Saccharomyces cerevisiae S288C: one gene and its partners. The protein of the gene in region 1 binds, or shares a complex with, the protein of each later gene. Each region holds a gene or a part of one and is shown on either strand. Other genes may lie near its edges. A codon is read from its position in the direction of its gene.

Region 1 (3,220 bases):
AGTAGGCCATAGTGGGTCCACAATACCTGTAACCGGCATGAGGACATATGATAATTCTGGCGTTGTGAATTGGGCCTTTAAGGGTACTTTTGATCAAGTATGTATGCAGTTGTTGAGATAATTCTTGGGCTCTATTGGAATACCATGAGCCTGCATGTGTTGCTGGACGTATTGACATGTTTGAAAAATTCTATTCTTTGCACTGTAGTCCACCTAAGCCACCGACTAGGACCACTTCACTTAAGTATCAGTCAGACTTTCCTTTGAAAATATATCAGTGTGTATCCGCATGTTATCTGTTTTGTTGAAAATCACATGAGTGGACGGCCCCTTTGTCTTGTCTTAGTGTTCCCCAATGATTTAAATGCAATTCCGAAGGAAAGGGGGGAGCCTCATATTATTACAGCATCACTACCTTTTGAGGTAAAAATATCTCATGTGAAAAAGATAAATTATAGAGAACCGGCAGGGCATGCTCCACTGACAACCCCGTGGTAACAGAAATTAAATTTTGATTATGATTAAATGGATTGTAATATTTATAATAGCCAAATGTACAAGGTGTATATTGCAAAGAATATGATATGGCAGGATATACGTATTTGTTCTATACAAAATTTTCTAAAACAGTATGACACTTGAAAACACCTAGAAAAATTAGGCGCGGCAATGATTACTCGTCGTCTGACTCATCCTCATCGTCTTCAGAGTCAGATCTATTATCTAATTCTTTGCTTTCTAATAGAGCTTGTAACTCAGCGTCTTCAGTAGCAGTGACAGCCTTTGGTGGCATGGTAATGTTGCAAACACCGCCGTATTTTGTAATAACCTCTGTAATTTTTTCAATAGCGCTTTCCAGTTGTTCAATACCTTTTTGCTTATCCAAGGCTTGGGTGGTCAAAACATATAATGGGGCGGCGACTAATTTAACTTTAACTTGCATTTGTTCTGTGGACATGTCTTCAGCTGATTTTAATGCGTCTTTAATGGCATCGATACCTTCGTAACTAAAACAAGACACTTCAACATCGGCTCTAATCTTTACAGCTTGTGGTGTTAATCTCTTGGAGATATAGTTCTTTAATTCATCTAAAACATCTTTTGATGGCGGTTCAATACCTTCCCAAACAGTTTCGTCAATGATGGATAGTTTGAAAGCTTCGTAAGCGTGACCAAATTTTCGACTTAATGGCCAAGCAATGGTCTTATATAGTTCTTCCAAAGGGATTTGGAATTTTTCGGCACAGTATCTTAAAATGGAATGAACAGTCTTAGATTTTTGGTATTTTTCTTCACATTTAATGATATCTTCAGAAGAAACACGACGTTTGGACAAATCAATATAACCTTTTTCTTTGTCGACACGAAGAACAACGGCGACATCATTTTTACCAACACGAATTAATTTTTGGATTGACCTAATACGTCTACGGGACAATTCACTTAGTAGAATCATACCTTCAATGTTGTCATATTCTAACAATTTAACATAAGCACCCATTTCAGCAATCTGCTGGACGTTAACCATGACGATATCGTCAATTTCTGGGTATTTGTTTTCATAAAATCTGCAATGAGAAGTGGACATTATTTGGTGTATTATAGAAGGTGCGTGAGGCAGCAGAAAAGACACAAAAATATGAAGACAAAAACTGATTAGTAAACAGATTGCACTTTACTCTTTAATGACCTAGGAAATAAACAATGGTTGAAAATTTGTAAATGCGATTTTATACTACTATTTCATCAGATTTGTGCTTTCTCTTCTTCTCTTTTTCGCCTCTTCGAAGAAAAAATTTTTCTCCGACTGCGGGTAAGAAAAAACGCTCATAGTTTTTCTACCAGCTGTGACAAGAAACGTATTTTGAGCTGAACGATGAATGCTCACTTTTACATATAAAACTTAATTGCATATCTATGTGGAAATTATTCCTTGTTTTATTTAAATGTCAATCTTGACCGTCTCTGCTTCTAACGTTTCCAAATCCAGTAATATTATCATCCCAGTAGAACTGAATTCAGGGACAGATATTATCTTTATGTTCTTACCACCTATTTCCACTACTCTTGTTCCAAAATATGGCTGGTTTGCCACAATGTAAACGTGGGGCCACTTATCCAATACAAATGGATCCTTATCAGTGTACGGATAACACCATAAGGTATCAGGTGCGGTGGGCGCGATGTTTTGCCATTTCATTGTACATTCCATAAGGTCCAGGCGATGCTCTATATCGTCTTTGAAATCATTACTCTCGCCCTCCTCGACCTTGTTTTCACTTTCTCCGTTATCATTTGATGGTATTACGTATTTACAAATATCATTGATATTTTTGCCTGAAACGGCTAGAACGTCTACGCCATTATAGCTAAACTCATATGGGTTGGTCACTAAATTCAAAATTTCTTTGTTAGAACCGTTGAAGTATGATTCTAGGGACTTATCAAACAATGATTTGTGGAAAGGCTGTTGCGGTAGAGATTTGTCACTTGGATCATTGGTTCCGGGCATAATATCAACAGATATAGATGGCAAAATGTTGTGTAGAAATTTACTGAACTCAGTTAGAGAAATCATCAATTCGTCTTTGTTCACGCTTTTAATGTCGAAGTCAACAGAGTTGCCGCATATCAGTAATCTACCAATTAGAGAAATGTCGTCAATTTTGTTATTGATTCTCCCCATCAAAAATTCTCTCAAAATCTCCAATCTCAATAGCCTATCAGGTGATGTATTATTGAGGTTTAACCCAGAAACAAGAGCAATTTTTCCCCTGGTGGGGCAGGTAGCAATTGGTGCAGGGAAAGGATTTTGTGGTAAAGGAGTGGGGTAGCATATGTCTAAAACTTGAAATGTCCCGGCTTCAGCTTCCATACCCAGTATACCTACAACAACACCCGTGATGAAGGGTGTAGACCGAATAAAATCTCCCACTAGAAGCACTCTCCCACTTTCATCTTCGAGCATAATTTCATCAGAACCACCCTCTTTATCAGTATAACTTTTAGTTAAATCTGGTGCACCATATGTATCATTGATCACTTCGTCCAGTACGTTTGGTTTATATTTCATCTCGCAATATATGGATCCTACGCACCAACATGGTTGGTTTCCCTGAATATCTAACACTTTGTCCTTTTTTAGAACTAATTGGCCATTCAAGGTAAAGCCCGCATCCCATCTCTTGTCACATTCTTTTAAGACGCGTTCTCTGAAAGT
Region 2 (3,967 bases), on another chromosome or scaffold:
AACAAGGTAAGGAACTGGAAGCAGCCTCTAAGTTTTATAAAGCATTGACTGTATACCCTCAGCCAGCCGATTTATTGGGAATTTACCAAAGATCCATTCCTGAAGCCATTTACGAATATATTATATTAATGATTGCCATCTTGCCTCCTGCTAATGTGGCTTCTTTCGTTAAAGGAGTTGTTGGAAGCAAGGCCGAATCTGATGCGGTTGCTGAAGCTAACGATATCGATGACTGAGAGTAACATTTTGCTTGCTTTTTTTCTCCGTTTTTGTTTCTTTTACTCTGTATATAGCCCTATATAATTACATCATTTCTCTAGCCTAAATCTTGTTATATATACCAAGCTTTTTGGAAAGCTAAGGATAAAAACAATTCTTTTCATTAGATGTATTTTTTCATCGTATTAGGTGTAATATATATATATATGTATATATATATATATATATAATATATATGTAGTATACACACGTGGACGACCATTAACGAATGTTGTATATGCTTATGCGGAACCTTTGTACTCTCTTAAAATAACAGGGACAGATGAAGGTGGCAAAGCGCCGAATTCAGTGATCACTTTTTTAATATATTCTGGTGGTGTTAAATCGTATAAGATGTTGACAATATTTAACGAAGGTAACTCTTGCCAACCATCCAAAATATTTTTGCTGTTGCTGTCTTCTTCATTACTGGCGTCCTTGCTTTCTCCTTCAGATCCTTTCTTACCGCCAATTTTATTACCCTTTGGCTTATTCTCCATTGCTAGCTTTTTCTTTTCAAATTTTCTTTCTTTGATAAATTGGTTTAATAACGCACCTTTATTACCGCGTCTCTCGACTGGATTTTCGTAATCTATATTAACCAGGTCATTTGGATCTGCCAGTTCATTAAATGTGACACTATCCAATTGTACTCTTTGTGAAAACTTCAAACTTTCGCAGCAGACTAATACAGGTATATTTCTTCTCTTAGCGCTCATAGCCAACATTGCTGTCCCAGCTCTTGAATATAGGAACCCATTAGATAGGATAGAATGGGCTCCTAAAAACACATAGTCCACATCCATATTGAATATCGTATCCAAACTTGTAATAAGTGCATACATAACATTGACACCAGCATTTCTTAAAGTTTCTGCCATTTTCCGCCCTTCAAATAGTGGTCTCGAATCGACGACAATCACTTTGATGTTTTTCTTTAAACTGATTGCATTATGCAGTAACAGTTCAGTTAGAACCTTTGATGAACCATATGTCACAATAGTAGTAGATTCTTCAATTTGTGTAGAGGCATTGTCTATAATTAGTTGATCAGCCAGTTCGATTTTTTCTTTAGCAAACTGCCCAATTTTCTCACAAAGGTCTTTTTTGGCGGCTTTGTCGGGGGTAGATGGGTCAATTAATGAAATTTCTTGCTTTAACCATCTGATAGCATTACCCATAGTAACACTTAAAGGTCTAGCTTTTTTCAAAAGATCAATCTGGTGTGACAAATAACTTGTTAAGTTACGTGACAAGGTAGTTCCCTTAGGTGTTTGATAGTCTTTGATAACAATTTGGAAAACCTCTAGCATGGCTATGCAACGTGGGATGGATCCCACGATTTTATAGTGTGCTAGATGAGAAGTTAATAATAATATCGACGGATGGATAAGGTCTTTATTCAATAAAAGTTCCTTAACAGACGATATCAAGCTGGAGTTGTCAAATGATTGTTCTAACACGGTAGGGATCACTGACGATATACCGGGAATGACATTAAACTCACCAGCCTCTAACGAGATAGATGCCAATGTCTTGGCAACATCAGAAGCGTTTGATGAAGCAATCTCTTGTTGTATAGCTGTTGGAGTATTTGTTGACGCAGAACTGGTACCGGCAGAGAGTGCTGCAGAAGAGGCAGGAAGAGTCGTTGTTGTTGAAGCTGGAGCTGATGCAGATACAGTAGACGACGCGTTTGGACCCACGGGCATCAAGGAAGAAGCCGTTAATACGTTAGATCCTGATAATGCACTAGCCACCACGGGGACCATCAACCCAGCAGCGGTGATTCGCGAAGTTTTTGGAGATGATACTGCACTGGTTAAAGCTAAAATTGTCGCTCTTCTTTCTTCAGTAGTTTCCAGATGACCAAAAAGTGTGCTCTTTTTCACGTTTCGTTCATTTTGTTTTTTTTTATTGGCATTTTTTTGCTTTTGCTCTCTTTTCTGTTGTTGCTCACGTTGTAGTTGTTTCTTCTCTTTTTTCATTTGTGCTTGTTGTTGCTGTTGTTCAATGGATATACCATTAGCCTGCTTCATTGCAGCTCTCTTTGCAGCTTTTTCTTGTTTCTTTAGTTCTTTTAGCTCCTTGTTTGTTAATTTCTTTTCTCCATTAGCTGCAGCTGTAGTTGTTGGAGTAGCTTGTTTAGCTTTACTTGGCGGTGTAGCCGACCTAGATTTGGCTTCCGATTCGCTCATAGCAATTTGATTATCGACGCTTCTTTGACAACGTATTTCTTACGTGGTGAAAATAAGATCTTATGCACTTACGCTGATTATCTATAGCTGGTGATGCCTTGTTGTAGAATACTCATTTTCACTAAACTCGAAAAAAAAAAATTGAAAAATTGGAAAAAAGCGAGAGGTACTGAAAATTGTGAAGAGATTCCCGGGTAAATATAAACATAATTAATACAATAATAGCAATATATGTGACGAACTGTGTTCTACTTTTTAGTATTTACAGGTATGTTTATTTATATATTTCCTATGGGGTGTTTTGGTACTATTTTTCCTCTTTTTCGGTGGATTCCTGAGGAGGTGGTGTTTCCAACAGTCCCAACGCTTTCAAATGCGTGTCGTATGGATCGCTGGATTCACTTAATGCATTTTGATATTGGCGTATAAATTCTTGCAATTCTAGATATTGAGCATTGTGTTGATCGATGTCCAATAATGTTCTTGCAATAAGGTATATCCCCTCGTATTTGCTTAGCAAGTCCTTTAGTTCCGCGCCACTTGATGAATTGGGGATATCTGGTAAACTAATATCTACAGGTTGCAAGCCCGTCAGCTCTGGGGTAAATCCAATCTGTCTACCTAATGTTGCAACAAGAATATTTGCTAGTCCAGTATTATTTTTTCTATTTAATACCTTTTTCCAAGCAACCTGCAGTTTCCTCTGAGCAATTTCTGCATCTTTATAGTCTTTCAACCTATTTCGATGCAAAGCACACATGATATTAGTATTAAAAAAATGCTCGATATCAAATACGGATGGATTTTGCGCTTTGAGAAACTTGTGCTCAATACCATATAAGAGTCCTACCATGTGCGCATATTTACCGATTTTGAAAAATGACGCAGTCAACATCTTTTGAACATGAATTGGTGAGATGTACGTCCAAATAGCGCGCTTTCTTATGGAGGTCCCTGTCCATTCTTTGAACCAATCTAGTAGTTCTGTCGAGTTGGGTTCAACCGAATAAATAAAATCATTTAACGTTTGCTTCGACAGTGGCTTTACGGGAGGTCTCGGTTGTAATGGTTCCCTTGTTTTTGGATCCCTAATATCTTTAGTTAACAATATCTGAGCATTCTTGGGACGGTAAATGAATGGTTTTAGTTTCGCATCTGTCTTGTGGTATATCAAGAATTCATCCAGCTTTGCTTTCGCAATTTCGCCGGTAGATGCAAAACGTCTCCAAACTGTACTTCTGAACATTTTCTTGTTGGTCGTTGCTCGGTGCAATGCCCTTATCAACAGTATTGGTCCCTCATTAATCACCACTGTTATGGTTCCCATTTTCTTAATAAGAAAGGTTTAGCTTTTTTTCAGCACATTTTCTATTACCCTGCATGGTGAGTATCAAATAAGTGCCAATAAATTGGGTATGAATACAACTAAATACATTGACAAAGTGTTCACAACGCATCGAAGCGCTAGACTTGCAAATGTGATGAGGATATATGATATTTTTGGGATATTT
Region 3 (3,465 bases), on another chromosome or scaffold:
TCTCCGGAGAAGAGGAGTCACTGCACGTGTTTCAGTATGCTAATAGACCAAGGCTAGTAGGACGCAAACCTGCTGAGCATCCGTTTATCTCTGCAGCAAGATATAAACCCAAGTCGCACCTATGGGAAATAGATATTCCTTTGGATGAGCAGGCCTTCTATAACAAGGATAAGGCTGAGAGCGAATGGAATGGGGTTAATGTCCAAACATTAAAAGGCGTGGGTGTGGAAAACAATGGCCAATATGCAGCATTTGTCAAAGATATGCAGGTTTATTTGGTACCTATTGAGAGGGTAGCACAATTGAAGCCATTTTTCAAATATATCGACGACGCAAATGTAACAAGAAAGCAAGAGGACGCCAGAAGGAACCCTAATCCTTCATCACAACGCGCTCAAGTGGTTACCATGTCTGTAAAGAGCGTCAACGACCCTTCGCAAAACAGACTCACTGGCTCCCTGCTGGCACATAAAGTCGCCGATGAAGAGGCTAATATTGAATTGACCTGGGCAGAAGGCACGTTTGAACAGTTCAAAGATACTATCGTGAAAGAAGCTGAAGATAAAACTTTAGTAGCCTTAGAGAAACAAGAAGACTATATAGATAATCTAGTTTGAAGTACATAATGCATCATGAAGAAAGAACAGCATCAGACATCAGTTTCACATAAAGGATGCTCTTGCGCTTTTTCTCCTTTTCTATTAAGTCATTGCGTGCATATATTATGTGATTTTTTTTAATCATACCACATCTTGATTAACTCTTCTGAAACGGCACTTGGAGTGAGGACCCCTAAATCTGTAATCAATGCAGTAATGTATTCTTGGGCGGTATAGTCGATCGTGGGCCCACGCAATGCATCTTCTAGATCGTCCGTACGACGTGTGAAATCCAAAGGAGGGCCGGCCATAGGTAGATCATCTGAAGACAATGGAAACATACGAACAAATTTGTGACTTTCAGTGACCACATAGAATGGTTTTCTTGCATTATGTGCTAAAACACCCACTGAATAGGTACCCACGAGATTTATAATACCACCTGATTCAGCAACACCCTCAGCACCAACGAACACTTTGTCAACCTTATCGATTACCGCTCCAACCGCGCTATCGACAATAAGAGTCACGGGTATGCCCTTTTGTTCAAGTAAAGTATATAGCTGGTTCCCTTGTTTGCTAGGTCTTGATTCTGTCACCACACATCTGAACCTAATAAACTTATTTGCTGCATGATTTAATAAAGAAAATACTGCTCTCGAATAACCATGTACCAAGATGATATCATCATCAGCTATGAAATCCACCCCTATTTCTGCAATCTTGTTACGCGATTTTTTGGCTCTCGATACAAAAAGCTGGCCATTTTCAATCAAATGTTGTTTACAGTTTTCCCAATCACCGTATAAATGAAGATTTCTTAAGACAAATCTCATGAAAATATCACAACCGGCTCTCAGGGAAACTGAGTTCGGAATGGATTTAATAAGTTCTTCCGTGGAGCTTTTTATTGTATTAATCATTTCTGCCGCTGTTTCTGGTGTTTTTATTCTTAATAGCGTGACCAATGCTTCAATGGCAGCAATCGGCATTGTCATCTCAGTATCTTCTTCTAAAAACCTTAGATAAGTTTCTGTAATATTAAACTCCGACATCCTTCCTCTCGATTTCTGGTATACGTAGGACTTTTAAAATTCTTTCTATCAATTACTATGAAGAAATCTATGATTAATGATGGCTTTGTCACTATTTGAGCAGTATGATTCTCATTTTACACCATAAACTTCACCAATTTTTTCATTTTTTTTTCATTTTTCTTCCGGATGAAATTTATCTATTGTAAAAAAAAAAAAACATTATGCTATGTAGAAAGCTTTAAATATGGCGACAATGTTGCTGTGTTGTATCAAATTCCCTGGATAGAGTCGTGCACTCTTAATGTGGCGAAAATGATGGCATTGCCTCCTTATTCTTTCTCATAAAAGGTATTACTAATCGTTATCTATTACCAACATAAGATATAGCTAGCAATTCTTGTAAGCACAATTACATATGTTTAGTTTTATTTTGAAAAGCAATACAAGCGCAAATTGTTTGGTCTGTTTTGGAGAGATCACCATGTAGCTGGCACTGCTGCAGATTGTCATGTAGTAAACATACTAGTAAAATATTCTTAAAATAATTTGATCAGATCAGTTTTGTTCTTCTATCTCCTATGTCATAACATACCGCTCATTTTTACTATCGTTATGTTTTTCATTCAGAAATTTTATTTTTCTTTAGGTCTTGAGTATCGACTTCCACAACATTGGATGACTGTACCTCACGATTTGTGTATTCTATTTATGCAGTATGTAATAACATATTAGTGTCACGACCGCTAGCCAATATACGATAGTGGATCTTTATTCCAAAAAATACTTATCTAACATGTTTAACAACAGATCAGATACTAAAACTTTTTGTCTGAATAAGAATTAACTACCATCTATGCACTAGCACACAAATTAGCAGTATGTTCTCATACACAGTGTAAGAAGATGACATTAAGAATGAGAAACGGTTATTAAATATAATAGAAGCTGAAATGCAAGCATTGATAACGTAACAAGATAAAGAATAAGCATATAAAGTAAAAAAACGAGACAATAACATTACTATTCATGAATACCGATTCCTTCTTCCGCATTTCTAATATCCTCGAAGAGAACTTTTAGTATATTGTGTATCATAGCCTTCAACAATAATGGAACACCAGTAATTATCATATTATTCAAACATTTCTCAATGATAGCTTTTATTCACAATGGAACCCAACAATTATTTCAAAATTCACACATTTCTTACTTCTTAGAGCAGGATTAGTTGGGTCTGGTAATTTGAACTACTATATTAGGTAAAAAATCATGCAATAAATAGTGCTGATACTTAGGGTTCTCAATTTTTAATGTCTCTTAATAATTCTTGTTCCTCGTGGCCCAATGGTCACGGCGTCTGGCTACGAACCAGAAGATTCCAGGTTCAAGTCCTGGCGGGGAAGAATTTTTTTACTTTTATAATTTTCTTATTATCTTTTCAGTTATTGAGTAAAAATATTATAATATTGGAAATGCTACGTTGCCAGTCCTGGTGCCGTACAATGCCGTATTATTTTAGCAATTCGTCATCAGGTTTCCGAGGCATTGTTACACCGTTTGGGAAAAATAAGATGTATGCACAATGGTGTATCTAAATTCAACATAAAAATAAAAAAAACAAAATGACAAACGGCAATAAAGAGACATTGTGTGCAAAGAAAGGGCATATATATCAAGTAGTATAAGTAGTAAAGTACAGTTAACAGATCAATTGGCCTCGAGGAATATGAGTTTTTTATGGGGGTCTACAAAGTCCAAGAAAGGCAAGAATAAAAAGGCTGCAGGTTCTCTTCCGTCAGGTGTTGTTCCACAGCAACGTGTGAAACCAA

The links.
Region 2: the proteins of SUI2 (region 1) and GCD2 are in contact, whole or in part, in a cryo-EM structure (PDB 6I7T), measured with the Saccharomyces cerevisiae proteins. Residues at the interface, in NP_012540.3 of Saccharomyces cerevisiae: Arg57 (codon at 1,420), Ser58 (codon at 1,417), Ile59 (codon at 1,414), Gln60 (codon at 1,411), Leu62 (codon at 1,405), Ile63 (codon at 1,402), Lys67 (codon at 1,390); in NP_011597.1 of Saccharomyces cerevisiae: Lys376 (codon at 1,331), Glu377 (codon at 1,328), Lys378 (codon at 1,325), Leu381 (codon at 1,316), Ala382 (codon at 1,313), Gln384 (codon at 1,307), Leu385 (codon at 1,304), Glu631 (codon at 566), Phe632 (codon at 563), Glu646 (codon at 521), Tyr647 (codon at 518), Ala651 (codon at 506).
Region 3: the proteins of SUI2 (region 1) and GCN3 are in contact, whole or in part, in a cryo-EM structure (PDB 6I3M), measured with the Saccharomyces cerevisiae proteins. Residues at the interface, in NP_012540.3 of Saccharomyces cerevisiae: Glu29 (codon at 1,504), Met30 (codon at 1,501), Tyr33 (codon at 1,492), Met45 (codon at 1,456), Leu47 (codon at 1,450), Leu48 (codon at 1,447), Ser49 (codon at 1,444), Glu50 (codon at 1,441), Arg53 (codon at 1,432), Arg55 (codon at 1,426), Ile56 (codon at 1,423), Arg57 (codon at 1,420), Ser58 (codon at 1,417), Lys61 (codon at 1,408), Arg75 (codon at 1,366), Asp77 (codon at 1,360), Tyr82 (codon at 1,345), Ile83 (codon at 1,342), Asp84 (codon at 1,339), Arg88 (codon at 1,327); in NP_012951.1 of Saccharomyces cerevisiae: Pro39 (codon at 1,540), Glu40 (codon at 1,537), Thr41 (codon at 1,534), Ala42 (codon at 1,531), Ala43 (codon at 1,528), Glu44 (codon at 1,525), Ile46 (codon at 1,519), Asn47 (codon at 1,516), Lys50 (codon at 1,507), Met74 (codon at 1,435), Leu78 (codon at 1,423), Leu81 (codon at 1,414), His82 (codon at 1,411), Tyr84 (codon at 1,405), Asp86 (codon at 1,399), Trp87 (codon at 1,396), Arg238 (codon at 943), Asp305 (codon at 742).

The regions. Positions count from the first base shown.
Region 1 is NC_001142.9:449,388-452,607, reverse strand, and holds SUI2 (translation initiation factor eIF2 subunit alpha), read right to left. Parts: upstream 1,589-3,220; coding exon 674-1,588; downstream 1-673. Other genes in the region: MHO1 (Mho1p), read right to left, coding at 1-178; DNA-directed DNA polymerase delta subunit POL31, read right to left, coding at 1,943-3,220. UniProt on the Saccharomyces cerevisiae protein: eIF-2 functions in the early steps of protein synthesis by forming a ternary complex with GTP and initiator tRNA. This complex binds to a 40S ribosomal subunit, followed by mRNA binding to form a 43S pre-initiation complex.
Region 2 is NC_001139.9:644,360-648,326, forward strand, and holds GCD2 (translation initiation factor eIF2B subunit delta), read right to left. Parts: upstream 2,457-3,967; coding exon 501-2,456; downstream 1-500. Other genes in the region: TOM complex receptor protein TOM20, read left to right, coding at 1-236; mitochondrial 37S ribosomal protein mS44 MRP13, read right to left, coding at 2,764-3,783. UniProt on the Saccharomyces cerevisiae protein: Acts as a component of the translation initiation factor 2B (eIF2B) complex, which catalyzes the exchange of GDP for GTP on the eukaryotic initiation factor 2 (eIF2) complex gamma subunit.
Region 3 is NC_001143.9:488,002-491,466, forward strand, and holds GCN3 (translation initiation factor eIF2B subunit alpha), read right to left. Parts: upstream 1,655-3,465; coding exon 737-1,654; downstream 1-736. Other genes in the region: RPC37 (DNA-directed RNA polymerase III subunit C37), read left to right, coding at 1-617; BCH2 (Bch2p), read left to right, coding at 3,363-3,465. UniProt on the Saccharomyces cerevisiae protein: Acts as a component of the translation initiation factor 2B (eIF2B) complex, which catalyzes the exchange of GDP for GTP on the eukaryotic initiation factor 2 (eIF2) complex gamma subunit.